4 linked regions of the Schizosaccharomyces pombe genome follow. The gene in region 3 interacts genetically with the main gene of each other region. Each region holds a gene or a part of one and is shown on either strand. Other genes may lie near its edges.

Region 1 (9,515 bases), on a different chromosome or scaffold from region 3:
TTGATAGTTTCGAATATCAGAAGAAACTTCATTTAAACCTTCAGTCACCAGTTGAACAATTATGCCCATTTGCTCAAGTCCAATTTTTTTCTCTTGATTTGCATTGAGAGCACTACCTTTGTTAGACCTATTTTATTTATATATCTTTGAAAATACTTACTCCTCCAGTTCTTTGTATAACTGAGCTCTCGTTTCTTGAGCTCGCAATATTTTATTTACAGTTTCCTCCATATCTGGTAAATGATACATTAAGAGTTAATTGTCTCAGATATATAGTCCACCTTTGCAATCAAGTAAAACTGTTTGTAATTTTCCTTCGACATAACATACTTATAGTAATATGACTCTTATTATTTATAGTTATTGTTACAAAATATAGTCGTTATTAAGTAATTGAATCATATTCTAACACAGCGTATACTATAGCAAAAAAGATTCAGAAAAAACGTTTTCTATAATGAAAAGGATTGAATAATTAATTAATTAACTGTCCAATTTATCAGGTTTCCAATGTTTTGATTTACAAGTACAAACTTCAAGTGAATGACATTTAAGAGGTCTATTAGAAAAGAGCGTGTTAATAGACCTAATTCTTTTTGATGGAAAATATCTATTAAAACATATGTCTACGTCGTGTGTACCTACTGAAAAGCCTACTGTAATAACTAATCCATTTTGCTATTCACAATGTTCAAACAATCTTTGACAAGTTAATATACGTCTACACGTGACAACTTTATTAATATCCTATAGTTCAATACCATCAACTATTTCCCGAATAACATTTGAGATCCTACTAAATTGTGAATTGTTCAGTCTGGTCAAACATGGAGACATAATGTATAATTACAGATTAAATAGCAGCACTAAAAGAATCAGAAGTATAAGAGGTTTTTACCTTAAATAAATTGATTGAGAATTATAATTTTCTGTAGGCTATCTTCTCTGATTGCCTCTTTCTTACTTTGGTTAAGCAAGACAACCCCTCTGTACTTTCCATATAGAAGCTGCAAAACCAAGGTTTCCTCTCCTTTCTCATAGAATATCTAGGAGGATTGTCTGCAAATCTATGTAGAACATCTGTATCTCCTCGGCTTTGACATGGCTTTCTATGGTTTATACTGTTCATATCTGCACATTCACATTTGTTTATCGTATACTCAAATCAGACATCAGAAAGACTTCTTTATTTCAGTGAATCCTTCCTGATTTCATACTTCAGCCTTTGAAGGTATGACCCATGAATTTCAATGAGCTGGACAAGGCATTTCGAAGGAGCACTTACTGATAAATGTAAAAACATTAAGAAAATATTACTCAATTTAAGTTTAAATGAGCCTTAATCTAGCTATATTTGCTTTACCTTAACACATTCATTTCAGCAATTTCATTTTGACTTACGAAATGTATTAATAAGGACGATTTGTATTTTTTTCGAATATATACAGGGTTCAAAAATGCATTTAGTGCTATATTTTGACAAGAAGTATCGCCTATTTGACCATTCCTGTACAGTCCATTAGACCATGCACTAGCCATCTAGTCCGCGTTCCACAAAAACAAAACAACACCTCGATAAGGCTTTAAGAGGGTAGAACAACGTGTCACATTTTTTTGAAACTCGAAGTATCCGAGATTTAGCTATGAAAAGATGTCGTTCTGAACATGTTCCTAGTAGGTTACCAAGAAAGAAGTGTAAAAATCATTTGGATAGTAAGTGAAGAATTTAGCGATTTTTTACTAAGCTTCTAAGTGAGATCTTTTCTTAGTTTGTTTGCAAGCAAAAAAAGTAATGCCCATGATGCCTCTTCTATCGTTTTAAATGAAAAGGTTAATTTTGTTACTGACAATGACCATCTGCCTTCATCTACCGGTGTTTGCGAATTTTGTGATAACGTATTATATCTTTCTACATGTGATCGCTGCCAACGAAATATTTGTCGAAACTGTAGTACTCTAATGTAAGTTTATTATCTGTATCTATTTTCAAGCTGACATTATATGTAGGTATTTTAAAGAAAACACCGTAGCAAGGTGTTTAGATTGTCTATAAATATAATACGTGATTTTGTACAACATGATATGACTATAACATTCGTGAAACTCGTAGCCTTACACCCAATCGTTTTCTCGAACCAGCAGGACGGGCACTCGCGACCTTAGTATTTGATTGATTAAGGTCAGTATGTTGCACAACATCTTGGTGACCTTCCCTCAACGTTCTATTTATTACCTGATCTTTCGTAGAAGGACCTCTACCAAGATTTTGTCTGACGCTGCTCATGAAAGAAGCGTTTGTCGTTGAGGCTCTTGTCGATACAATACGATTGACAGTTTCAAAACTTCGATCATTTAAATCTTTATTTGCAACCATTATGCTTGCGGACCTTGACGGCTCAGAAATCTCTACATCTGAATCGATTGGTTGTTTTTTCTCAAACCAACTTCGTATATCGGTTTTCGATCTCTTGGCATTATGTTTTCTAAAATTTGTTTCATCTTTATTATAGTCATTGACACTTTTGACTCGTTCTCTCTTTTTCAATTCTGCCTCAGCTAGAACACGACAGCATTGGAAGCCCAAGTTTTCGAATTTAGTTCCGTTATGATTTGCATTTGAACCAATACCGCTTAAATTAGTTATTTTCCCATAAGATTTCCGACCCAATATGGTTCCAATTTCAGAAGCAATCTTTTCATTAAAAACTATTTCACTTTCCATCACCCATCTTTTCATTTCTTCTCCTTTTAAAAATGGACTGACGTCCTGTACATTGTCTGAGTTCTGCATATCTGCAAACATTCCAGTGACGCTTTTAAAGGAAGATAGATACAGTAGCGCCTGTGCACGTGTGGCACCGACATATAGCAGCCTTCTTTCCTCGTCGAGGTCGTCTGAACGAGAATGAGGGATAATATTTTCACAAAGACAAGGTAAAAATACAACAGGCCACTCTAAACCCTTAGCTGCGTGAAGGGTTGAAATGGTAACCTTCTGAGATTCGCCCTCTTTCTGTTCTTCATTCACAAGAGCGATTTGAGTCAAAAAATTCTGCAATAGAACAATTGTTGATATTTTGTAATCTAATTCATAGAATATACAAGATATGTTATCGCTTTGTTGTACAAGCTCCATTACATTTTCCCATTTTTCTTCGACAGTTTCTTTATTTTTCCGAACCAGGTATTCGTAATATTTAATCTCAGAAAGTATTCCCAAAAGTAAATCACTAAGAGTTGCTGAGTGCCCATTAGACAAGTAACGATTTTCAAGTTTGGAGATTGAACAAAGAAAAGACTTTAAAGACTTTAGAAAACTCTTGTCATTTCTTTGAGAAAGTAAAATATTTTCATTCTTTACTTCATTTAAAGTTTGCCAAAAGGTCAATCCTCTTCTTTCACTTTCGAAAATAATACGGTCGATTTTTGTTTTGCCAATATTTCTAGGAGGGACATTGATGACACGAATTAAAGAAGTCGAATCTTTGTTAGCTAGGACTCTCAAGTAAGCTATTAAGTCTCGAATCTCTTCTCTATCAAAAAACTTGTTAACTCCAACCATGCGGTAGGGCACACCAAGTTCGGAAAGTGCATGTTCTAAACTTCTTGTAAGGCTGGAGGACCTTACAAGGATTGCGATATCGTTATAAAATATAAGCTCTGGACAAGAACCTACTATACGTTTAATTTCTCTAAAGAATCGTTAGTAAACTTTCATGCAATGAAGCCATACGAACCTTGCGATCCAGTAAGATTCTTTATTGTTAGTTTCAAACAATCGGTAATGAGGCTTTAAGGAAGAGATGTGATTACTTTTGAGCCCCTTCTTAGGCCTGCTTTTGTCCTGTGAAATGATAGACAGTGCTAATTCAAGTATAGGTTTAGCTGAACGGTAATTTCTTTCCAAATGAAGCACTTGGGTACCTTCAAAGTCTTCAGACATTTGGTTTAAGTTCCTAATTTCAGCACTTCGAAATCCATAGATTGATTGATCGGGATCGCCAACAATCGTGATATCTGAATTTTGCAATGCCAAAAGCTTAACAAGAAAATATTGGATTTTGCTAGTATCTTGAAATTCATCGATTAAAATATGTTTTATATTCCTCACACAATCTGGTTGCTTTTGAAGTAATAAAATAAAGTTTAAAAGCAAATCATCAAAATCCTAAATAGTTAGATATATACATACAACTTTATGCTTGTTACGTACCGCTAAATTGTTCTTCCATAAGGAAGTTTGATAAAGTCTATACAATTCAACAGATTGATGGCTTTGAAGCTCTTTAGGTGGTTCTTCCAGACCATTAATCAAACTCAACTGATCCATTCCAGGTTTAACAAGAAGACCGTTGGACTTTAATTTAGTTATGCGATTTAGAGCATTCTGAGGAGTCAATTCTTGTCCTCTAATACCAGAAGCAATCGGATTTTTAGCTTTCTTGAGAGAGTCTAAAAGTCGCTTCATAATAGCTTGACTAAATAGATCAGCAATGGTTGAAAGTGGAGAAGTAAAAGTTAGAAAAGTGTAAACAAGACATACGTATCATTTCTGTCAGCAATCAACCAATTTGAGGATAGCCCTATATGCTTGCCATATTTAACCAAATACTTGTACGCTATAGAATGAAACGTCCCAGAAATAAGCTTAGAGGCTTCACTATTCCCCAAAATAGCTTCAATTCTGAGCTTTATTTCATTTGCGGCTTTGTTCGTAAAGGTGGCTATAATTAAATCTTCGGCTGCAATATGGTTCTTTTGAAGTAAATAGGCTACTCGAGCGGTAAGAACACGGGTTTTTCCAGACCCAGGACCGGCTAAAATTTGAGTATACTTATGAGGACTCTGAACACTAATCCTTTGTTCTTCATTCAGAAACTTCAAGTATGATGATTTCGTTTCCATAATTGAGAAGAACAAAACACTCAACCGACAGCTTCAAATGTATATTTTAAAAAAGTGAGAAATAGGAAAACAATGCAAAGATTTTTGGCCAAACACGGTCTTTTCCGATGAGTTGTCGGGTAATAAATATTAAATTGTGAAACGATGACACGTCAAACTAAGAAAATTAACAAATACTTATTATTTTAACGAAAGCATAGCATAGGTGAAATAATTTAGAAGATCAACCCTTATTTAGTTGAAAACAACACTTGCAATTTCTTAGTATTCTCGATTGACCTACCAGCGCGAAAGGGCTGATACACGGATACGAAAAAGATTTTAATCCACCTGTTTTTACTACAAGAAATTTGAGTAAATCGTGAACGTATAACAAATGAAAGCCTTTCAATTCAGTATTCTTAAGTAATGATTTTATTGTGTGAAAACCTGATTTTGCGATTGTCTTAGTCTTGTGTTTCGACCTCCCAAAAGTGGTGTTAGTGCAGCAAAACGCAAATGATGAAGGCAAGAAAGCAAGATATATGTAACAGTGTGTTGTTCAGAAAATAATACCCATTGTCAAACGAACATCACAAACCGAATTACAATTTGAACGTATCAATATTATTCTTCAATTTATCTCATGTCACAAGCCATTCGTGAAGCAACTCATGCAGGATCTTGGTATTTGGATGATACAGAATTACTAACTAAGCAATTAAAATCATTTATCAAAAACCCAACGCCCGAGACTGGGAAACGGTTTGTCATTTCACCGTACGTATAGACAACTTATAATTTATGTGATATTCAGTATATAGCTAAATATTGAGCAGACATGCTGGTTACATGTATAGTGGGAAAGTCGCATCCCAAGGATTTCAGCAATTGGACTTTTCGAAAATTCAGAGAGTTTTTGTTTTTGGGCCTTCTCATCACATCTTTACTAGAAAATGCCTAGTCAGTCGAGCTAGCATCTGCTCAACACCTTTAGGTGATTTGAAAGTGGATGAAGACTGTATGTGAAAACAGTTTTGCTTAGTAGTTTTACTAAATTGCTACTGTCTATTTCTCAGCACAGATTATTTGCTAACTGGAAATTTATATAGTATGTCAGAAACTCGTCGCTAGCGATAACAGCTTCGACTCAATGACCTTGGATGTGGATGAAAGTGAACATAGCCTCGAAATGCAATTCCCTCTTTTAGCTTTTCATTTGCTGAAACAAGGATGCTTGGGAAAAGTCAAAATTGTTCCTATCATGATAGGTGCCTTAACTTCAACCACAATGATGGCAGCAGCGAAATTTCTGAGTCAGTATATTAAAGATGAATCAAATTCATTTGTTATATCTTCCGATTTTTGTCATTGGGGAAGAAGATTTGGATATACCCTTTATTTGAACGATACGAATCAATTAGAGGATGCAGTCTTAAAATACAAAAGACGAGGTGGCCCCACTAGTCCCAAAATTTATGAGTCTATATCTAATTTGGATCATATTGGTATGAAAATTATTGAAACGAAAAGTAGTGATGACTTTTCAGAGTATTTGAAAACCACTCAAAACACCATATGCGGCCGTTACCCTATAGAACTCATTATGAAATCTATGGAATGCGCCAATTTCTCTGAAAGATTCAAGTTTATTTCGTACGCTCAAAGTAGCCATGTTGAATTGGTCACCGATAGCAGCGTTAGCTATGCAACCGCAACCGCATAGTATTGTTGATATTTTATTATTATTTTTTTCATGACTTGAAACGGCTGATGCGAAACGATCATATATTTAAGTATTTGAGAGCCGAAAATTATCGGAACATGTATTATGCAACCTGTGTTTGTTAGTTATTATCATCAGATTCATACTCAGGAGGCTAATTTTGCAATGCTTTTTCTGATCTAGGCAAATTACGATAAATGAAATGCGCTTTATTTCTCAATTGCAACATTTACGAAACATACCCTTTTCCATTTATATAATTTTTTTGTTTTCTGTATGTATCAATTGGTCTCTCTTGAGAATTAATCAATTTTTAAATCTTTCTACTATGTATAAAACTACTGTTTTTGATATTCTGAACAAATTTCTTTTACACGATTAGTAACGAAAACATTATTATATTATCAAAGTCAATTCATGCATGTGCATAACCTTCTAAACTAGTATGCTTTCCAGCTTTGCTTGAAAATTATACAGCCTCAACGAGTTCAAGACAAAATTTCAATACAAAAATTTCATGTTTAACAATAAATTAACACAAAAACAAACAAAAAAAAAATGAATAAAAGGAAGCCTACAGCACCCCGGATTCCCATGTTGTCTCCAACCATAGTACTAACGAGGCCCTCAGACGCTTAACTGCAGTGATCGGACGGGAACTGGTGTTTTCGCCTAGGTATGGCCGTAGACATTTGTTGTATAAATTACTTTTATTTAAACGTTTAAGAAGTACCGTATAGTGTCTACCGGCAGAGTATTTTCTCAGCCCTGAGATTACTGATTCTCAAGATAGTATACAAAGAATTAATATTCATCAATTAAGTTAGAAAAATTTCAACCTAGTTATTAATACTTAAAACTAACCATATCTTTGGTTAAGAATTTTATATACGGAACCCATCTGATAGAGCGTATGAGTTAGCTATATACGTCGGACAACAAGCATTAGCAAATTCATTAGCTCCTAATATCATTACATGTCCATGAAGGATATTTACAGCTAAATATTTGAATTAGTATGCACGATTTTTACGAGTTAACAGAGGGATTCTACCTGCTAGTGTTAGTGAAATTGATGGTATTTACTCCGAAAGCCTTTACAGCATTCAACTTTATACCAATCTTTTAGTAAACGTGTTTATCTACTTCCTGTTACTTGACTATCTTTAAAAAACATTAAGCAATATTTTAGCCAATGTTATAATAGTTGGATTTACTTGTTATTATGAAAATGAGACAGATTTAGTTGGTAATGGTAGTCGTAATATAATGTAAACTCTCGTGAGAGCTTTGTGTATGGTATTGTTGCACTAAACTACTACAATGCAATTGGCGATTTTATAATTAAATATGTTTGACGGCAGTTCATTAGTTTCTAAGTACCCTCCCTTCATTCTTCAGTTATGAATCAACGAACGTCTTATGAAAGAAAATCCTTGACTGTTTATTCTCATTACAGATATTTACTAAATAGTGAAACGAAATGAACAGTAGGAGAAACATCAAAAGACAATGTTAAAAAGGATACTTTTCAAAAAATCACTGCGTAAACGTTAGTTTTCCTTAATTACTTTATCGCAGTCGAAGGGTTTTTAATTTACTCCACATTTATCATCCCATATACTTCACTACCTAATTAGCGAAAGCGAAGTACACTGTACAGTATTGCTCTTATATAATTATGTCATATGCACGTATTTCCAAATCGTGCGGTGCTCCTTAAAATACACCCCAAAGCGATTCAATAACATACAATAAACAACATTTCAATTACCTTGATCTCTAAACGTTCGTTAGTATAAGAAATTTGTAAAATTGGAAAACTATTCCTTTTAAGGAACTGATTAACTCTATTTTAATTAACGGTTCTTGTTCCGCCAGTTGACTAAATCAATTTACAACGGCAATTGCTTTGCGATTTTTTGTTTCAGATTGAAAAGCTGAAAGCCAATTCTTGTTTCATTAAACTTTTGAGAGCTGAAAACAATTGATTCATTCGTTCCGCCGCTTTGATTTTATTTCTATACGTGTTCGAATTGTTAACGGAAAGCATCATCACTGATACGGTTTTCTTTTATTAGGATTGAAAACTTTTATCGGGTTTTTAAACAAAAAGAGGGGTTTCTTCATTTACCGGGAAGCACAACTGTTCGTTTCGTCTCCATAAGAAGTATTTATCTTACGGAAGAACATTTCATTAAAACTATAATAAATACAATCCTGTCAACACAGGAATAGTCCCAACTGTTCTTTCTTTTTAAAGAATTACTCTTTTAGCTCATTTCATTCCATATCCTACTCGAAATTTACACCTCTCTCTTTGGCATTACATATCTTCAAGACATAGGAACTTTTCCTTAACCTTGACTTTCTCTCAGTACAAATATTCTTTTCTTCTATCTTAAACCCCAATTTCACTTCTTCAATAGGTTTGAGAGTTTTAGTTGATTAATTGTATTTATACTTAACTCTTAAATAAAATGCCTCCTAACGCCAGAGTTTCTTATGGCGCTGAAAAATACTTGCCTAGGGAAATTGATAATCATGGAATCGTTGGAAACATGCACACATCAGCCATGATATCTCTAGATGGATCGGTAGAGATGATGTGTTGGCCAAATTTTGACTCACCTTCTATTTTCGCTCGAATTTTAGATGCGCGTGCCGGACATTTTTCAATTACACCGATTGAACAAACTAGTTGCAAGCAAATGTATGAGCCTTCCACCAATATTCTACATACAAAGTTTTATTCAGAGAGAGGTGTCCTTCGTTTACTTGATTTTTTTCACCGACCATGGGAAGATTACGAACCACTTTACCCTTGGTTAATTCGTCGTGTTAGTTGTATTCGTGGTACGTCTCGTATTAAGCTAGAGTGTTTTCCAGCCTTGGACTATGCTCG
Region 2 (7,495 bases), on a different chromosome or scaffold from region 3:
CTTGTCCGAAAAACTGAGACAGTTTATTCGCGTCAACAGAAGCGCTGGAGAGCACAAGTCTAAAATCATTCCTCTTTTCTAAAATCCTTGATTTGTCAGCTATGAATAGAAAATTTAAATACCTTTTCAAAACTCCTAGTAGGAGATCTGTCGACAAAGTTCGTTCATGGACTTCGTCGAGAATGACTATTGAATATCTTTCCAGCAAAGGATCAAAAAATATTTCATTCAAAAGGATTCCATCGGTCATATATTTTATTTTTGTTTTTTCAGAAACGTTATGATCAAATTGAATGCTATATCCACACAAACTTCCAGGAGGAGAGTTCAGTTCCAAAGATACTCGTTCAGAGACGCTCTTTGCTACGAGTCTTCTGGGCTTTCAAATAAGTTAGGAGGATGATAAATAAACAAAGTTGTGACTAACCTGTGTACATCCTATAATACCGTTTTGGGACGCCCATCCAGCTTCGTATAAAAATTGAGGGATTTCTTCAAGATTATTTTTAGTTTAATAAACCATCTAATCAAAATACTTACGAGTTGTTTTACCACATCCTGTGTGGCCTAACACTATAGTAATCTGATTTTGCTCTACTGCATATAACAACTGGTTTCCTAAATGTAACGTCAGCAATGTAAGGGTAAAACAGCTACATACTGTATTTGGTGATTGGTAATAGCTTTTTCTGAATATTTAAGGGTGTATTTGTAAGAGTACTAAGCGATTGGGAAATAAACTCATTAGGCATACTCTTGCGTAGAGAGCATCAAGTAAGTGGAAGCACTTTCATGTTACCACAACTAGATTGAACGTATTGTAATATTTATAAAAAACAGTATTAACAAAATTCAAATAAAAAATTATTATTCAAAATAAATATACTACAATAATTATCACGCAATTTGAGTAAAATCTGGGAAACCTCGTAACATTGGTATCTGTTAAAAGAATGGCTGCATGCACGGCCTAACTTAGCAAAATGTTTTTTAATCTTATTTTTACTAAAACACTTAGTCTTGAGAATTTTCACGATTTCCCATAATCGTAACTTCCAACAACCACTGCTTTCTCCTCCAAACATTGATTAAAGATCCGTTTACTTTTATAACTTCGTTTATCCACCAGCACTTATTACCTGGCTGTCCCCATAGCTTCAAAATTTTACTCAAAAATTCTTCGCTTAATGAGGAGCTCTCGACTGTTGTTATGATATACGACATTAAGCTCATTAATTTTGGCTCCTTTACTCTCTTGGCCCATTTATCGTTGTAGCGAAATCCACAATGCTGTAATGCATCAACTAGCGGTCCATCACTCAGCCCTTTTCGGATTTTTTTTTTGTCTGCACTTTCAAAAACGTCGTTGTTCTTGAAAGTTTGCTCTAATAAGTCGCTCCTGATTTTTTGGTCGACGGGCTTTTTATTTTCAGAAAATAAATAGATATTGCAACATTCTGTTAAGAATAAAACGAGGGTAGTATTCGATATAGGATTAAATGCAATTTTTGAGGGATAAGCATTATTACTTTTTTTAAATAATGGTAGATAGGTGTCCAAAATCCATTTACAAATGGAAGGGTCGATTTTGTGGCATTTGAAACATGATGAGACATCACCTCCCTCATGTTTTAAAAGCAGATGAAACCCATTAGGAAATAGAAGTGCCAACACGGTAGTTGGTAATATTGGAAGTTCAACGCGATCAATGACTATTAGTTTGCCCCGGATGTTGAAATGTATTTTTTCTGGAAAAAACTTTAAATTACTTTCCAGTGTATTGGCTAAAGTGTCAACCGTATTGATTCGATCAATTGGAACTGACATTTTTGTGTTCTATTTTTGTAACGATTATGTTATAAAAGAATGTTCATTTTTTATTTACAAGATATCACCAATGCATACTTGGCTTTTGGTAAAAATGTTAGGTGCAAATTTCTAAAGGATCGCCAATAGCGGAAGCTATCGGAAAGGTCTTACAAAATCTTTTACGCGCAATAGTAAAAACAGGTAGAAAAAGCCATTCGTCGGTTAAGAGAGCTCTTTGGGCATTCTTTGTTACGTGTAAAACTTTTTATTGTATTTTTTTCCATTTCAATACCCAACTGGTATATCCAAAATTCAGTCCACTAAAGTATGTCGGATTCTAATAAAAATGCACTACCATCATAGATCAACAAAATATATATTTAATAGTGACAGAGGTAATATAAATATAAAGATAAATAAGTACACTTATATATGTAACAGTTACTCAAAGCATTACTTTTCTTTCTGCGAATGATTGATAAGCGACAGTCGATTAAACAAAGTTAGGGCAATTCATAAACCGGTTTTATTATATTATATATAAAATTTTTACAAAAATGCTAGCACGAATATATCCCAACCGATCCTATGCATATTCGTACGTCAAGCCTTGGAGAATTTGGTGAATAAACAACCCGAAAGATTCTCCCCGAATTATTGGTGGCAGAGTCGGTTTTCTTAATTAATGCTAATCTCGTACTGATGTTATTAGTCCAAACGAGACCAAGAGATGGTATTTTGGGATTTGGATCTGTGTCATCCCATCCCGAAAACCATTGCGATTGATAATCTAAACTAAACAACCCAATAGCATCATAATCTCTAGGAATTCTATCGCTAACTTGGTTAGCTATGACAACAGCAGCTTCATGTTGATGAGCTAAAGTGCGTAGAGTCATAGCTAACTTTCCCAATTGATTTCCACGTTTGGCAATATTATCTAAATCTCTAAAATGACTTTTGGATCGGTTGTAACGGAGCTCAGCTCTGTAGTTGGAGGCGACACTATCCAATATAACCAACCCAATTTTATCCCGATTGAATAAAATCGGCAGTTGATACTGAATGATATGTTCTTGAGATTCCAGATCTGGGCATAATATAGTATACACCCTATCTCCTGGATTTTTTATAATTATGTCTTTCTTATCAGCTTTGGGATACCTTTCTGGTAAATAACGCGCCAGTTCAAATAATCGTTTTGTTTCAAGACCGGACTCTGTAGAAATGAAGACAGCTGCTTTGTTCATTCCTCCTAAACTGAGAGGTAGTTGAACCATTAAACAAAGCTGCATACAAAACTGTGACTTCCCTGAACCGCTTTCACCACATATTTCAGTTAACTGTCCTACTGGTATACCTCCATGTAGAGTTTCATCCAACTTTACATCGCCAGTTGTCAAATATTTCGAAGTGACTTTGGAAGCAGAACATCTTACTGGTTGAAGAAGGAGGGATATCTGCTCAATTAACTGTAATAACTCACTTTGACTACAATGTGTGCGTCTTTCTAGCTCAGTAATATCCAGCGTTAACAAATCAACCGTGCTTACTTCTCCTAAAGCTGTCAGTAATTCCGTCTTTTAAGATCCCGGTACAAAAACCCAATATTTTTTTTTTATGTGCAAGCTTATTGAACTACTAAACGCTTACCTAATTCAAATGCTGAAGCAATTTTCTCATCAAAGTAGAAATTGTCAACATAATTCGAAATATCCATCCATATAGTAGAAAGAAAGAAGATTTTTAATTGTAAATATGATATGTATAGTTTTTACTCATAAAGATAAATGAAAATTATATCCACACCATAGAATATTCGAAAGTTGATAGTTTTATATAATGAACAGCTTTGTATCCTACGATTGAATTAAATTCTCACGATTATTTAGAAGTAATAGCACGAACTTCTAACCCACTTTTTCGCAGAAAGAAACGGTAATTTATGTACCACTATAGAAGTGGTGAGTCGAAGATGTTGTACGCGAATTACAACTGACCTGCCAATACCTCTATGTTTAGTAATTATAATCCTTATGAGAAGAAGCCCCGCAATCGACGAATATTTATATGAACATTGGTTTTTATAGAACATTAGCATAGTAACCGCTTACACTTATTTTTTTAACATCTTCAAACCATACATCTATGAAAAACCCCACGTAATGATACACATACTTGCCTAACCACCATTCCTTAATTGATAATTAAGTTATCAAGATATGTGAAATTATATAAGCAGCATATCCAAATGTGTATTGCTCATTAATTGTTAGGCATTAAAATTCGTAGTATGGTTGAGCAAACGAAGTATAAGAAATGATGTTTTACCAATCAACCGACGATAATTCGCTCAGTTTACCAGCTACCAACAAATTTCTTAGTTTATGAATGCTTGGTTCAACATGAAGTAATACTAAATAGAACTTTGTTGAGATTTCTCAATAACAGACAAAATATACATGATACATTTTTCATCTCATGAAACTTCAACTGTACAAAGAATTAGGTAATAGATAAATAACGTACCCTAACGCTCGCAGATTGCACTACGGAGGCAGCTGAAATTCGAAGCAAGGGCAACTGTTTAAAAATTGAGTATTGTAATTGCTTTTGTCAACAAATCAGAATTCTTTGATAAGTTATCTGGCTTTATTAAAAATTAAAAGTTGCTCAACATAGTATTCTTGTCGCCTCAAAAATAATGGGCTTATAGTATCCTAAAATATGCCTTAAATTTTGAATTTTGAATTTTTTTTTTTTCAGTTTAACTACGGATCACGATTACTTCTTGTTTTAAAATGTATGCCAATTCAAGAAAAAGAAGCAATGTCGATGTTCATCGGCACCCTTATGTAGTTTATGGCTCCCCTTTTGATCTTGAGCCGTCCAGAATTAATCAAGGAGTTCCTGTTTGGAAACAAGAAGCCAGGGATGAGCGTAATAGAAAGAGATTTCATGGTGCATTTACTGGTGGATTTTCTGCTGGCTATTTTAATACGGTTGGTTCAAAAGAGGGTTGGCAACCTAAATCTTGGAAAAGTTCAAGGAATGAAAACAAAAGTGTGCATGGAATGACTATTGACGATATTATGGACGAGGAAGATCGTGCTGACCAAGAGCTTAGTAAAGTTTATACTTCGAAAATAAATACGATTGATACATCTATACCAATTGATGATCCTCTACTTAGAGAATTCTCAAATAGGGACGATAGCATTGGCGAAAAAATGTTAAAAAATCTTGGATGGAACGGTCATGATTTTGTTATATCTCCATTTCAAGGGTATTATGATGACACTAAGTTAACCAACCAAGCTTATCACGGTATCGGGTATCAAGCGGACGATGTTTTTCAGCTGGAAAGAAAACCAGTTGGAATGGCAAAAAATCTGCGCGGTGGATTTGGATCAGGTGTTTTAAATGATGATGGGATAGAAGATCAAGATATATACGACCTCGGTGCTCCAAAAATGCGGTATGATAAATCTATCAACATTACAAAAAAAGTCGCTTCTCCATTTACACCCGTTAAGCATACCTTTCTGTCAAAAAAAGACAGAAGCAAAGGGAAAAGCATAATCAAATCGCAAAATTGCTCAGATGGTCTACCTCCCCTTCCAGGATTTGTAGTGGTATTTAATTTACAATCACCTTTTCAAAATAATTGGTTTCCTCCTCCTACAATACCTGAGGGTTGGGAGCCAAAACTTTTTACAAATTCTCAAGGATTTTCACAAAAAAAAGCCCAAACTTCAAATGAGCGCTTACCACTTTTTGCTGAGAAAAGTGAAACAAATTCCAACGGTGAAGCAAGTTTACCTAGTGATGTTAATCATGGTGTCAAGGAAGATGAGGGATCTTGGCAACTAATTGACATTGAGACAGCTAAAAATGCAATGTCTAGGAAAGATAATCCCTATAACGATGAGCGTGCCGGAATTTACGAGATTTTCCTTAAGGCGCACCTAATGAATATGCCACGATTACTCAGAGATATTGATTCTCGTCATTTACTAGAATTTACTCAAACAGCTTCACTATACCGACCTATGTCAAAAAATCTATCGATGCGTTTCGTAAGTTCTTTTGAAGCCTCGACTAAAAAAGAGTCGATTAATTCACATAGTGAAACTGATGATTCAATTTTGAGAAGACCTCGTACAGTTGTTACATTCATTCCCGAACGTCTTCTTTGTAAACGCTTTAATGTCGCCTTACCGTACGGTCAAGAAAAACAAAAGCGTAAAAATATTTCTTCTATTGAAAATGTACCTATTATTGCTGAAATTGAAAACAAAAGTATCGATTCAATTGATACAAGGAAGTTGAATCGACCCCAGGATATAGAAGAAAAACCAAAAGCTCCCCAAACTCTTTTCAGTGCAATATTTGGGGATGACTGAATAAAAAAATTATTAATTGATTTCTATTGTACTTTATTTTCATTAGGTTAATAGACTGTAATAAACTTTTTGTTTTAAGCAAAAACTTAGTACTTCCTATTTATTCAAGTGCCATGACACAATGTTTAATAATTTCATAAAAAAAAATAATAATTATCAAGATAGCTATTATACACATCAATTCTTTACTTCACTTTGTTTGCTTAATGTCGCGTAGATTAAACTCACAGTTACTTTTGCTACTTAAAAATTTTTAAACGTTAATGAAACGTGACCCTTTTCAAAATTTTTCATCAAGATAATTATCATCATAGTAATAATGGATGATTTTCTAAAGAAAGACTTAGGATGTCTTCGTTCTGGCGATTTGAAAAAATGTGGTGAATTAATTTGCGAAATCTGTCGAGATCTGTATACGTCGGGCTGGGTTACAGGAACTGGGTAATTACTAATTTGAATTTAATATAACTAATAAAAGAATCAGAGGAGGAATTACCATTCGCTCTGGGTACAAAGCATTATTAAAGCGTCAAATATTAACTTTCATGTAGAGATGCCATTGTAATCGCTCCCTCGGGTGTACAAAAGGAAAGGATGGAGTTACACCATCTTTTTGTCATGTCTTTAATGTATGATATTATTATTGTCATTGTTTTTATCATTTTGAGTAGATGCTAACCTCTTGCAGTACTCGAGAATATATGCGAATGCCAGCTCTTCGATTGAAACCTTCTCAGTGTACACCTTTGTTTTTAGCAGTATACACGTAAGTCAGCAAAGTTGTTGAACATTGAATTCTTTACTAAAGCAGTAGCTTGCGTGACGCATATGCATGTATCCATACCCATTCTCAGGAAGCCATTTTATTGTCTACTCTATTTGCGGATTCTGATCATTTTTCGGCAACAGGTTTTGAAGTACTATCGTATATTCCAAAAGGATCTAAAAATAATGGGTTTCATAAGCCAACAGATAAGATAAAAATTCCATGTATGAGTTTACAAACTTTTATAAAAGGCTGCTAACCGAATAGTTATCAATAATACTGCTCATGAGTCTGATCTTCATGATAGTTTGCAAGAAGCGATCAATTTGTACCCAGATACTTGTGCTGTAATTGTTAGAGATCACGGTATTTACTGCTGGGGCGATACGTGGCAAGATACCAAAATGAATACTGAAGCGGTAGAATTTTTATTCCAAGCTTATTTACGGAGAAGAAGGCTTCAAAAACCAGAATAGAAATTTTGTGACAGCTTGAAAGACATTGCGTTCTAAGG
Region 3 (8,979 bases):
TGTTAGGAAACTAATTGATACACCAAATTTTCAAATCTCATATAGGTTTTTTTTATAAAACTAATAAACGAAATAAAGCTTTTTAATTTAATAAAAATATATACAAAAGCGACGATATTGTAGCATCTTCGGTTAACTCAATGCTGTAATCTGATAGTCAGTAATATCTGACATACTATATAGTTCAGCACCACCTCTCTTCAATCAGCAGAATTGCTCAAAAATGGTTTCTTTTGAATCAAGTTTTGAACGAGGTACCGATTTTTTGAATAGAAATTTTAAGAAATGTCTCTTCGCATGCATTTCCATCTTCATTTTTGCGCTTTTAGCATTATCATTCCTATCACTGTTACAACCAGATACAGTGCAAAGGCTTTACCAATGCGCTGTTCCCTCAATGATTTATGTTCCACCGATGATTAATGAAGCAATTTCAATACAACATGAAGAATTCAACAATCGTAGGCGGAGACTTTCGGCTGCACTTCGTGAAGATAAGTTGGATGCTCTAATTATGGAGCCTACAGTTTCAATGGATTATTTTGCAAATATCACTACTGGCTCCTGGGGTCTTTCTGAGCGACCTTTTTTGGGAATAATATTTTCAGACGATGAACCCTATCCAGGAGACGTGGCATCAAGAATATATTTTCTAGTACCTAAGTTTGAGCTACCACGTGCTAAAGAATTGGTTGGCAAAAACATTGATGCGAAATACATCACTTGGGATGAAGACGAAAACCCTTATCAAGTTTTATATGACCGGTTAGGACCTTTGAAGTTAATGATAGATGGTACTGTGCGAAATTTCATTGCACAAGGTTTACAGTATGCTGGATTTACCACATTTGGGGTGTCCCCCCGTGTTGCGAGTTTACGGGAAATAAAAAGTCCAGCTGAGGTAGATATTATGTCAAGGGTCAATATTGCAACTGTGGCAGCTATACGATCTGTCCAACCGTGTATTAAACCTGGTATTACGGAGAAAGAGTTGGCGGAAGTGATTAACATGCTTTTTGTTTACGGTGGATTGCCTGTGCAAGAGTCACCGATAGTTTTGTTCGGTGAAAGAGCAGCAATGCCACATGGAGGTCCATCGAATCGTCGATTGAAAAAAAGCGAATTTGTCTTGATGGATGTTGGTACTACTTTGTTTGGCTATCATAGCGATTGCACCCGAACTGTACTTCCCCATGGCCAAAAGATGACTGAGAGGATGGAGAAGCTTTGGAATTTGGTTTACGATGCCCAGACGGCCGGCATCCAGATGCTTTCCCATTTATCGAACACAAGTTGTGCAGAAGTTGACCTAGCAGCCAGAAAAGTAATTAAAGATGCTGGTTATGGCGAGTATTTTATACACAGATTGGGACACGGGTTAGGATTAGAAGAGCATGAACAAACTTACCTTAATCCTGCCAATAAAGGTACGCCTGTACAAAAGGGAAATGTGTTTACTGTTGAGCCTGGAATTTACATACCTGACGAAATTGGAATTCGTATTGAAGATGCTGTTTTAGCATCTGATGTTCCTATTCTATTAACAAACTTTAGGGCAAAAAGTCCCTACGAGCCTTAATATTTATGTGATTTTTTGTGATTGTAACCTGAATTGGATCAAATAATTTAATTCATACTATTAACATTAGTAGTAATTGAAATAAAATCAACTCATCAACGAAAGAAATTGAACATAAAAAACTATTTTGATTTATCCGCCCTGATATCTTCCTCTAATAAATCTAACTCTTCTTCCAAACGAGGATCTAAAACCGGATAACTAAGGCCTGTAGGATCTAAATCGGGGTTTTCCTGAGATGGTCGCCATAAAGAAGATAATGTAATTAAGTAAGTCAAATGCACACCATCAATCCATCCATCTAAGAAATACCAGCGTATTTTCCAGAGTTTGTTTGTTGAGTTATTATTAGTGTTTGAGCAAAATATCAATGCAACTAGAGAAAATGAGAAAATGGTAACAACACCACACAATACCATTATTCGGAAAATTTTATAGATGCTATGCAACGTATAGTACCGTTGTTCAACCAACGCGCGAAGAGTTGAAGGTAACGCAACAAAGGCACCAAACAAGATATATAGCGCTGAAATACAAGCGGTGAGGAAGAAAAAGCAAAACCAAAGGCCGAGGTGAATAGATTGAATGGTAATTGCAAAGAAGCGAACTACAAAAAGAGCGAAGAAACAAATTATTAAAGGAATTTTTGCTTCAGTAAATAGTCGATCACGCATGTTAGTTGAATAACGGGTATATCCCCAAGAGAGTATTAATAATAACGCAAGGTCCAAGACTAACTGACACGCAAACAAAATTGACACCAGAGTCTCTCCTAACCATGTGAAGTTCCCCCGATTTCTCAAATTTTCTGTATCCAACACAATAGAAGTGACAGCCTGTTGAGCACACGAAAAGATTAGCAAGAACATAATTGCCTTTTGAACGGTAACAATCGAATGTTTATATTGAAATCGGAAAAACATCCAAAGTGCAAGAATTACACTATAAGCGATTGTGATTCCACCAGATATAGGCATTCTAGGGAATTGAGAAGCGGGAAGCCCACCATACGCATTTTGCCAATTGACAAGAGCTTGATAAGGTAACATTTTTTTCGAATGAGACCAAATGCAATAATAACCTGACTGAGAGATTTCATATATAATGTTTTGAGGGTCAGCATTTGTCGGAATTATATAAGAACGAATGGATTTTGCTGACGTTGAGTTCCACAAATATAGTCCCAGTTGATCGGCTTCACATAGGTGATCCGTGTATACCGCATCGTAATCGCAAATGTAAGTGAATTGATCATCAGAACGGAATGCACCTAACTTGCGGATTTCTTTCCAATTGAATATCAAAACCTCAACTTCATCTTCTTGACCCCATGGTTCAGTCCAATTCACTAACGTCGTAAGTTTTTTAAATAAAAGCGTAAAAAAAGATATGTACATACCATAAATTGCTGGATTTAAAGACCCTCCAGATTCCGATTTCGAGTAAATGCCATTGCACAATTCATAATGCTTGAAATTCTAGCAAGAAGCCGCAGTTAGCAAATGATACGCAAGAAATCTGATTGTTTTACCAGTAATGTTTTTTCTGAATAAACTATGGAAAAGAATATACTCCATAGAAGAGATATCAGTAATTTCATGGTTTATGATGAGAGCATTAGATTTTTTATACTTCGAAGGACTGGGAACAAAAATTAAATACCAATGTTATGTAAATCAATGTACAAAATATTTTTTCCCAAAACCGATTCACGGATTATCTGCCAAAGTTGAGATTCAGAAGTTGGTGGAGGTTATTGACTACTTAATAAATAGTAATTTATTTATAGTTAGGCGATTAGCAAGGTTCAAAAAATAGCTGAGAAAGGTGTTGATTCGAGCCTGGACATCAACATTTTAATTAATTTTTTCTTTCTATAAACAATTTTGCTTGACTTGCTGAATTTCGCTAAGGATCAACATCATTGACTACTGGTGAATTCTTTCTTTGTTATCGGCCCAGAAATTACCAACCGTAAAATGTATTTTCCGCAATTAAAGAAAATTGTGAGGATTTATCCTTCTATTCGGTTTCATTTAATAAATTGAGAGCATTGATGAATAAATAGACTAGGTGTAGAAAAAAATTTAGTTGACGAAGCCGAATTTAATACCGCATGTTGTCTGGTCTAAACTTCTATTTTTGGTGAAACCGGTTTCCATTAAAATATCAACAAAAGTGATATTGCTAAACGTGGCATTTATAGTGTCTAAAGAAAGTATAATAAAAACCAACCAAGAGGTCGTTGATGAGAAATAATTATATAAATAATTAGTTAAATCATGAGAATAAGAATGATACATCAATTAATAAAAAATTACAATTTACAAAATAAAGTAGAGGATTTTTTCAACACAAAAAGTAATAGAGTCTTTTTGAGTTAATTATTTATTCAATGAAACTTACTTTTACATAAGAAATTATGGGAATTCTTTCAATTTGCAGATGGTTAAAGTATTTCTGTAACGACAGCATGCTTCGGAGAGAAATAATTATATAGGTTAAGGAATGTATTTTATTTTAAAAGATTGGATTTATTTTAATGTTCGTTGCTCATTCATAAACTAGTTCTGGTATTTTTACTACTCTTAAATTTGCACATACCCAACCAACAAGCAATTCTTCTAATGCAATTTGTTCTTTCTTTTCAGTCAAGCACCCAGTCAGCAAATTCTTAGTTATATGAGTGCTCAACATTTACATAGCTGCAAATTTTATAGACTGCCACTTGAAATTATCCCATTGATCTGCAGGTTTCTTTCTGTTCAGGATATCCAAAGTTTCATACGTGTATTCCCATCCTTTCAAACTATTTTAGACTCTTCTAATGACCTTTTTTGGAAAAAGAAAAATTATGAGTTACGAATTCGTCGAAATCGATTGCTTCGTGGTTCTTATGCTGCTGGTGTTTCGAGCTCAGCGATGAATGGATTTGTCAATGGCACCCAAATTTCATCCACACCAGCTGAGAGAGAATACTATAGTAAATCAGATGAAATAAAAAATATTTGTGGGCTTCCCCCGGGTCCTATGAAAGTGGAACAAATTGGACATGCTATTGACCATCTTGTCAGTGAGACTCATACAGTTGATCATCTTGGAAGTTCTATTAAAGCATCTTTTTTTCACATAGATGATGTTCCTTTAGAATGGATAAGCTCAATATGCATGCAGGTTCAAAGCTTTTTCTCCCCTGCAGCTCGAGAAGCTATATCTTCTCTAAAAAGTAGGACTACTACTAGCAATCTGCTTTTAAGTTTGTTCGTAGGGATACTATTTGAAGATGATTTGTGGTATTTTTTCAATACGCTTTATATGCTATCTTCAACGTCCGCTATAGAATTTGCTTATTTTCTGGACTCTATCTTTACTGTAGTCCGCACAGATTATGAACATTATCGTGACCCACTTTCACAAACACTAATTACTTCGTGTACTAGGATTCACAACATTGTAGCTGTCATTGAATCCCCTTATGATGAACCTAACACTAAGGGCCTTACCTCTGAACAAAAAATGATTGTTGAATGTCAATTAAACCCAGGAGAGGTTCTAAAAGTTAAAGCATTCGCTGGTACTGGCAAAACCAAAGCATTATTGGAATTTGCCAAGTCTCGTCCAAAAGATAAAATTTTATATGTTGCTTTTAACAAGGCCGCAAAAGAAGACGCAGAATTACGATTTCCATTTAATGTCAAATGCTCCACCATGCATGGTCTTGCTTATGGTGCTATACTTGCACAGGCCGATTTGCCGCAAGCTAAACTTGAGCGGCAATTATCAAATTCTACTATAGCTTCACTTTTGTCTTTGCAAGTTGCATTTCCAAAGGCAAATCGGAAAAATAATCCGGGTACACCATCCGCTAGCTTGGTAGCTTCTCATATCATGTTTACATTAAATAGGTTCATGCACTCCACTGACTGGCAGCTTGGTTTTCGTCATATAAGTAAAAGAAGCCTGGAAGTTACAAAACTCTCTAAAGAGAAGCTTTTGGCTTATACAAAAAAATTGTGGTCTCTTATTGTAAACTTTGAATATACCCATGCTCCTCTCATACCTGATGCATATATGAAATTATTACATTTGTATGAATTCCCTAATATTTTTTCAAAATATGACTACATTCTTTTTGACGAGGCTCAAGATTTTACTCCGTGTATGGTCGACCTTATTTATCGTCAGAAACACGCCCGAATTGTCATCGTTGGGGATGCACACCAATGCATTTATGGTTTTCGTGGTGCAAATGCATGTGCTTTCAATGAAAATTTGTACCCTTCCACAAAGCAACTGTGCCTTACTAAGAGTTTCCGGTTTGGAAACTCTGTTGCAAAATATGCAAATTTTTTGCTTTCATTAAAGGGAGAGAACGTTAAGCTTAAAGGGGTACAAAATGACCATGCGTATTGGTCTTCAGCAAGTAATCCCAACAATGTTAGTGGAGCGTTTCGATTTTTTCCTCATACGATTATTTTTCGCACTAATAAAGGTTTGCAATGGTTTATATTGATAAAAGCTAACGTATACAGAATTAATCCTACAATCGATTCGGCTATCAGTGTCATTACCTAAGGAGATACCCATTGCTATTCTTGGCTCAATGAGGAAAAAAGCATTCCAACTTTTGCGAAGTGGTTCAGAACTAGCGCATGGGCAGCGCCCTTCGCACCCAAAGTTAAAAGACTTTTCCTCTTGGGGAGAATTTGAAGTGCACGTAAAAAACTCAGCCGAAGAAGATGCCGAATTGGCTTTAGTATATGATATGGCCGACGAATTATTTAGTGAAAGCTTTCTGAGCCGATTGGACAATTGTGAAAAAAGATTGATGGACTCTAAAGACGATGGTGACAACGGTATTATTTTGGCAACAGCACATCAATCTAAGGGTCTTGAATGGGATAATGTTCAATTGGGTAATGATTTTCGACCAAAATTTGATAGTGTTTCTTTTTCACGAATTGGATCTTCGAGGTACTTGCAAGAGGAAATCAATATCCTTTATGTTGCTCTTACGCGAGCTAAAAAACGCCTTATCCTTAATGACACTATAACCAAATTATACGCATTAGAGTGCGGACTTGTTCGTTTTGCTGGTGGCATTTTAACGGAAGATCAGCTGCAACCTGGAAAAGTTGCTCTTTTTGTCGACTGGCAGATTGACAAGTTTAGCTTTTTTTATGAAACCCCTGCTGAAGGATACAATCTTTTGGTCGAAGCAAATGAGAAATCAGTATGGGATATATTTTTTGGAGTTCTTTCAGGCGCTTGGCAGAACTATATTGCGAATACATCTGAACGGCTTAAAAGATCGATGCTATTTATTGAAAATCAATTGTTTGCTGTACATGATCAGTAGAAACTATTTGATTTGTTTCTTTTAAAATCTATTTTAGCCATATTGATTGATGTACTATTGCTATTACAACCTTTAATATATAATCATTTAATAATATGTATATTCGTGTGGACATTTTCATTATAGAGCTATGTTACTATTTCGCTTATAAACGTAAACTCATATCAATCTGTCGCTGCACTTTCCATGTTAGAGTTAAAAGTAGTTGTAGTATTACACACAGAAAGCCATGGAAATAACCCTTCGTGTAAATAAACAGAAGATCAAGTTATATTTGTGCTTTAAAAGATTCCTATTAAGTGAGTCGATGACCCAATTAAGTGTTTATACCTAAAACATACATAAAGATGATTTCAAAAACTAGCAAGCAAGAAATTACTTCCCATCATCTGAATTCCCACGCAACGCTAAATAAACAAAAAACAAACTTTTGATACTCTCGTTAAGTGGCTTTGCTAACAATATAACGCAGTTATAAACAGTTTGTATTAGAATTAAGGTACCGAAGGTCGTTTGCCTTTATTAGCGTGTCAGCATACTACACTACGTTGCGTGTCACTATATGTCATATGTTGGAATACTAGTTAAGATCCGTTTGTTGATAATCACGGGTGACTACCCGTCTATATGAATAGATTCCTTTTGTTGACAAGTGTCTATAAATATTATAAATAGAGCTCCAACTGAACTGAGGAACGAGGTTCAATTATAAGCTATATTTGTGATAGGTAACATTGAAACCTAGATAATACAATACCTATACTCAGATTGCCTGCGTATTGCAATATGATAGGTCACAAGAAAAACTTACGGCACTTCTACATATCGTTGAAAACGATACCAAACTGTGTAGTTAACATTTAAAAATTAACTTACTTCGCTAACTTGATTACGACTGAGAAGAATTTGCTTCACTAAACGGCAGCAGTTTGCAAACCTGCGAAACTAGTTTTTGCCCTGTACCAAATCCTTTTGGTTACGAGAACAGCCATGGGAAAGATTCGGGTTAGGAATAACAATGCAGCTTCTGATGCAGAAGTGAGGAATACAGTTTTCAAATTCAACAAAGATTTTGGCCAGCATATCCTTAAAAACCCACTGGTTGCTCAGGGAATTGTGGATAAGGTAGGTAAAATTGCGATAATTTTTCAACGAGGTTTATTTTCTAACATAAGACAAATAGGCTGATTTGAAGCAATCCGATACTGTTTTGGAAGTAGGACCAGGTACTGGTAACTTGACAGTAAGGATGCTTGAGAAGGCGCGTAAAGTAATTGCTGTTGAAATGGACCCCCGAATGGCTGCAGAAATCACCAAGCGTGTGCAAGGGACACCAAAGGAAAAGAAATTGCAGGTGGTACTTGGTGATGTGATTAAGACCGACCTTCCTTACTTTGATGTATGCGTGTCTAATACGCCTTATCAAATTTCCTCACCATTGGTATTTAAATTATTACAGCAGAGACCGGCTCCTCGTGCGGCAATTCTTATGTTCCAGAGAGAATTTGCTTTACGCTTGGTTGCAAGGCCTGGTGACCCTTTGTACTGTCGATTATCCGCCAATGTGCAAATGTGGGCTCACGTCAAGCATATCATGAAAGTTGGAAAGAATAACTTTCGACCACCACCTTTGGTTGAATCAAGTGTTGTTCGGATAGAACCAAAAAATCCACCCCCTCCATTGGCTTTTGAGGAATGGGATGGTCTGTTACGGATTGTGTTTTTAAGGAAAAATAAAACCATTGGTGCTTGCTTTAAAACCTCTTCAATTATCGAAATGGTCGAAAATAACTATCGCACGTGGTGTTCGCAAAACGAACGCATGGTTGAGGAAGACTTTGATGTAAAATCTTTGATTGACGGAGTTTTACAACAATGCAATCTTCAAGATGCCCGAGCTTCTAAGTGTGGACAAACAGAGTTTTTGTCTCTGTTGCACGCCTTCCATCAGGTTGGCGTTCATTTTGCTTAATGGGGTCAGGATGGGGTTTTCCATTGAAACGTTAAATATTGGATCATTTATGGGTTTTTGGGATAATAA
Region 4 (4,307 bases), on a different chromosome or scaffold from region 3:
CATTAAAGGGAAAGAGGAGTACCCCAATATACACATAGATTGAAAAATGCTAATGTTGGCCCCTAGTAATTTTATATTTAAAGAACAAACCGCTTCCCCAAACCATATGAGCGCGACAACGACTGTAAAAACAGATTCTCGTTCAATCTTGTCAGTAGACAAGGCAAGTGCTAAAGCAATTACGAGGGAAAAAATCAAAGGACCCCACAAGTCCCAGTCGCGTAGTACTTGAGCATTTTTGGGATACAAAACATAGACGAGTTTTTCACCAATAGCTCTAAATTCATTAAATAATGTAACACGAATGGGTTCGTCCAGAGAATCTCCTCCAGTGAATCTTGTTTCAACAATTGACTCTCCAGCAATGTTGTCCGGCTCTATCGCTCGAGACTCCACATCGAGGCTGGATCGAACAGGATCCATGCGAAGAAGATTTTCCATTTCATCCTGTTCTATTTCTGTGTTATGTTTTCCTATGTCTGTCATTTCTAAAATATAAGATGGTAATTGAGTATGGTTTTGGTTTGGTACTTCGCTGGTACATTTCTCTGTTAATTTTGTAGTAGCACACTACTATGCTGGTCCTCAAAACAGTAAGATACCACCACCATGAATCCTAAAGATACAATTAACTATCATTTCAGTGAATCTAATAAAAATTTAATTATGTTCCTAAAACTTACAATATATCCTCTTAAGAATTGATTTTTGATAAAAGTGTGCTAATAAATACATAAAGAAGAAAAAGAATATTGTATTAAGTAAAGCAACCGAAATCCCAGAAGTTCAATGAAGCTTGAACATGAAGTCCTACTTTAGTCAATGCAAATATTCAAAATAATAGTAAAAATTTCAAGAATTTAGCATTTTGCGTGCGTTTTAATGCAAGTGGATCCTTAGGCTTCTTTAGTATAAAAAAGAAAGAAAAAGAAAGAAATTCTTCTTACTTTAATACCATAGCAAACTTTTTATATTTAATTTTTTATTTGAATTTGTAACAAGACAAGCATTTTTGGGTAGTAGAGATAAATATAATCATATAGGTCTTTAAATGTAAAAAAGAACGAAAACTTCTATGAAAAACTTTTAGCGAATATTAATTTAAGTGAAACATTTTGTTCACCAATGTAACCCAATCACCCAAACATAATTAATGGCAATTACAAAAACCTGATAGTTTAATGCGAATAAACGTAATGAAGATTTAGCAGAGAGTTAATAAGTGTGATCAAATGGTTTTTGCTCTTTTTTAAGAGCATACTTGAAAGAAAAATATGAGATACAGAGTAAATCGTAAGGAAATTATCAAAAAAGCATCACATACATATCTATCCTTACAAACTCATCCCATAGAATTTGCAAAATAATAAATAAAAATGAAACGATACTAAAATAATTTAGACAGGTGCGATAATTTCCTTGGGATCACCAACACCATCAGAATTAATGGCAAATATGGCTTCGCTCTCAGGCAAACACGGACTATCGTAAATTTTACAAATGCGTTGCTCACCACGACCTTTCCGCAAAGAAAGTCGAGTGGTACTCGAATGGGCAAGAATATTACCACCAATTGGTTTTTTGGGATCAGGATTAAAGGAAATGCCATCCACTTGGGCGACCACCTGATTAGTAATGACAACAGCAATACCGAATTCATCTGCCAAGCGCTGTAGCGTCCGCATAAACCTTGCTAAATGCATTTGACGAGCAGAGAGCTCTCCACGACCAGAGAAATCTGTTCTATACAAGGCAGTACAACTATCGACAACTAACAATGAAAATCGGGATTCAGACATCATGTTTGCCGCTTGTTGGAGCAACTCTAGTTGATGGTCTGCATTGTAAGCACGAGCATATGCAACGTTATCCAAAACTTCCTCACCATTTAAGCCATATCGATCTGCAACAGCCAACAAACGAACAGGACGGAAAGTTCCTTCTGTATCGATATATAAGCATTTACCTTCACCACCACCCATATCGATAGGAAGCTGACAGGTTACCGCAAGTGTATGGCAGATTTGACTTTTACCGGTACGGAATTCACCAAATAATTCTGTAATGCTTCCAGTCTCAACGCCTCCTTGTAACAAAGTGTCTAGTTGTTTTGATCCAGTTGTAATCGTAATTAATTCACTTCTTCGAATATGGTACTCAGTGGCGGTGGTAAATCCCATAGGAACTAGTTTGCTTGCCTCGCCAAGTAACTTATCAGCCTTTGCTTCAGAAATTCCTTTAATCAAAAGTAGTTGTCGCTTAGGAGTATAAGCAATTGATTCCACCGTGTAGTATCCGGCTTCATGAATTTTTTTTATGTCGCTAGCAGTAATCCCATTGCCTTCCAACATTTGTAAGGGCATAGGACCGGCGGCGGCCTCATCTTCTTCATCTTGTACATTCACGTCGTATTCATAATTTGATTGTGCTTGTCCATTTTCATTATTATTCATATCTGCTGCACTAACTTGCATTTCCACCTCTGTATCTGCCATTATAACTTGTTAAGCACGAAATTATCACTATTCTGGAATTGAAAAGAGTTTTTTATATTATTAAAGAAAAGAAAGATTAGGTTTTTAAAAAATAAATCAAGGAAATAGTTTTGTTAGAGAAAGAATTGGTTTATGGCAAGAATTTTCTTGCTTAGTAGGGATTGTGAAGGAATTAAAACGCGTCCGACGCGTTTTCAATCAATTGTTACCTAGTACTAGCAAGGTAACACCTACTAAATAGACACACACATTAGGGTAGGGCTGTAAAAATAGTCACGAGATAGGGAACGAAACAAAACACAGTTTTTTAACACTTGCATTTACAACAAGAGAACAGCACTGGTCAAAATGTCTGCATCTGAACTTGCTACCAGTTATTCAGCTCTCATTTTGGCTGACGAGGGTATTGAAATCACCGTACGTTATATTTTACTAGAAAAGTTGTGAATGTACTTCTACCGATACTGGTAAAAGATCTTTTCCATAGCGTGTAGTCGTCTTATTCCTTCTTATTCGGTTTTTGTTAAATTAATTTATACTAATTGTTGCGTAGTCTGACAAGCTCTTGTCTTTAACCAAGGCTGCCAACGTCGATGTTGAACCCATTTGGGCTACCATTTTCGCTAAGGCTCTTGAGGGCAAGGACCTTAAGGAACTTTTATTAAACATTGGCTCTGGTGCTGGTGCTGCTCCTGTTGCTGGCGGTGCTGCTGCTCCCGCTGCCGCTGATGGCGAAGCTCCTGCTGAAGAGAAGGAGGAAGCCAAGGAAGAGGAGGAATCTGATGAAGATATGGGATTCGGTTTGTTTGACTAATTTCCCTAATCTGCTAGCATGAACTAGTTGATCCAACTCAAAAAATAACCATTTTTCTATATCTCACTTAATATCTTCTTGTGTTTTGAAATTAAAAATTTAGACCGAGTAATCTTTATGAAACCGCCTTTGATCTGCGCCAACTATTTGTATGGCCAATGTTGGTGATTTTCAGACATATGTGAAGTAATATTATCAGGTGTAAATTGATTCACAGTACGAACTGCATATTTTGATATTAAATTTTTCAAGTTAATCGGTAGGAGTGTTTTAGTACTAATATTTAATAATAAGCATTATAGCGCTATTTTGAAATTTTAATACATCTCGGCCTCGGAGTGTAGGAGTTTGTGGCCCTTTGTAATTAGGACCGTAGTTGGAAAATGAAGTGTAAGGTTTTTGGCTGATCTTTATACATTAAGCAGGTTTTTACAAGTTAGCGTTTGCAAAATGTAAGTATGAAAGGAGATATTATCATTTATTGTTCACAAATTTCTTGCTGAATGAATGAGTTCTTAGTTATTAGGCACTGTGTATGCGATGCTTTTATTAATTCTGGCTGAAGTATAAAATTATTTAGCTATCTCTTTAAAGTTGATATTACTTTTGGGATTGATTCCGAAAAATATTCGACACATCATTTGCCCATTTTTACTAACACCGTCCCAAGGAAGACGCGAGGGCTTCAGCTATCCTCTACCACATACAACATGAATCCATCATGTGTGGTTTATGGTAAGTTAAATTTTTGTTTAAAAGTAATTCTAATAAGTAGTGGGCAATATTCCTTATGAAATGGCTGAGGAACAGGTCATTGACATCTTTAAGCAAAGTGGACCTGTGAAATCCTTTCAGTTGGTCATTGACCCTGAATCAGGGCAACCAAAGGGATATGGGTTTTGTGAATATCACGATCCTGCTACTGCAGCGTCTGCAGTTCGAAACCTTAACAACTACGATGCTGGAACACGTAGATTGCGTGTAGATTTCCCAACCGC

Evidence for each region.
Region 1: mutations in fbh1 (region 3) and srs2 impair growth when combined (synthetic growth defect), as found in Schizosaccharomyces pombe (4 studies listed by BioGRID, with this or other methods).
Region 2: of fbh1 (region 3) and rad57, a mutation in one rescues a mutant of the other (synthetic rescue), as found in Schizosaccharomyces pombe (4 studies listed by BioGRID, with this or other methods).
Region 4: of fbh1 (region 3) and rad51, a mutation in one rescues a mutant of the other (synthetic rescue), as found in Schizosaccharomyces pombe (6 studies listed by BioGRID, with this or other methods).

The regions. Positions count from the first base shown.
Region 1 is NC_003424.3:3,828,165-3,837,679, reverse strand, and holds srs2 (UvrD subfamily ATP-dependent DNA helicase), read right to left. Parts: upstream 5,402-9,515; 5' UTR 4,906-5,401; coding exon 4,544-4,905; intron 4,479-4,543; coding exon 4,214-4,478; intron 4,194-4,213; exon of another isoform or gene 4,169-4,193; coding exon 3,738-4,168; exon of another isoform or gene 3,693-3,737; coding exon 2,087-3,692; 3' UTR 2,054-2,086; coding exon of another isoform or gene 2,008-2,053; 3' UTR 1,962-2,007; downstream 1-1,961. Other genes in the region: SPOM_SPAC4H3.06 (uncharacterized protein), read right to left, coding at 1-112, 161-231; SPOM_SPAC4H3.16 (uncharacterized protein), read left to right, coding at 1,644-1,713, 1,754-1,961, 2,008-2,053; SPOM_SPAC4H3.04C (uncharacterized protein), read left to right, coding at 5,531-5,664, 5,724-5,905, 5,997-6,610; SPOM_SPAC4H3.03C (glucan 1,4-alpha-glucosidase), read left to right, coding at 9,091-9,515. UniProt on the Schizosaccharomyces pombe protein: ATP-dependent DNA helicase involved in DNA repair at least for UV-induced lesions. Also aids the recombinational repair of camptothecin-induced collapsed replication forks.
Region 2 is NC_003424.3:2,119,324-2,126,818, reverse strand, and holds rad57 (DNA recombination mediator, RecA family ATPase Rad57/Rhp57), read right to left. Parts: upstream 3,790-7,495; 5' UTR 3,530-3,789; coding exon 3,463-3,529; exon of another isoform or gene 3,368-3,462; coding exon 2,370-3,367; 3' UTR 2,313-2,369; downstream 1-2,312. Other genes in the region: gih35 (ATP-dependent RNA helicase), read right to left, coding at 1-86, 123-379, 428-492, 541-618, 662-752; whi2 (phosphatase activator), read right to left, coding at 1,015-1,827; gpl1 (Gpl1-Gih35-Wdr83 complex RNA-binding subunit), read left to right, coding at 4,611-6,215; mde1 (5'-methylthioribulose-1-phosphate dehydratase), read left to right, coding at 6,535-6,656, 6,700-6,723, 6,767-6,844, 6,904-6,981, 7,030-7,205, 7,249-7,457. UniProt on the Schizosaccharomyces pombe protein: Involved in recombination DNA repair and in the repair of gamma-ray-induced damage.
Region 3 is NC_003423.3:2,729,035-2,738,013, forward strand, and holds fbh1 (DNA helicase I, ubiquitin ligase F-box adaptor Fbh1), read left to right. Parts: upstream 1-4,175; 5' UTR 4,176-4,261; coding exon 4,262-6,071; exon of another isoform or gene 6,072-6,111; coding exon 6,112-6,938; 3' UTR 6,939-7,050; downstream 7,051-8,979. Other genes in the region: xpa1 (X-Pro dipeptidase), read left to right, coding at 224-1,579; SPOM_SPBC18A7.02C (seven transmembrane receptor-like protein), read right to left, coding at 1,702-2,927, 2,979-3,057, 3,111-3,179; SPOM_SPBC336.16 (uncharacterized protein), read right to left, coding at 3,667-3,882; cdh1 (SSU rRNA dimethylase), read left to right, coding at 7,929-8,063, 8,122-8,910. UniProt on the Schizosaccharomyces pombe protein: Involved in ATP-dependent DNA-unwinding in a 3' to 5' direction, and ATP-ase activities stimulated by the single-stranded DNA-binding protein ssb1.
Region 4 is NC_003424.3:2,697,610-2,701,916, forward strand, and holds rad51 (RecA family recombinase Rad51/Rhp51), read right to left. Parts: upstream 2,661-4,307; 5' UTR 2,496-2,660; coding exon 1,398-2,495; 3' UTR 501-1,397; downstream 1-500. Other genes in the region: SPOM_SPAC644.13C (Rab GTPase-binding protein), read right to left, coding at 1-486; rpp101 (ribosomal protein P1), read left to right, coding at 2,844-2,912, 3,049-3,309; rna15 (RNA-binding protein), read left to right, coding at 4,020-4,044, 4,085-4,307. UniProt on the Schizosaccharomyces pombe protein: Required both for recombination and for the repair of DNA damage caused by X-rays. Binds to single and double-stranded DNA, in the presence of magnesium, and exhibits DNA-dependent ATPase activity.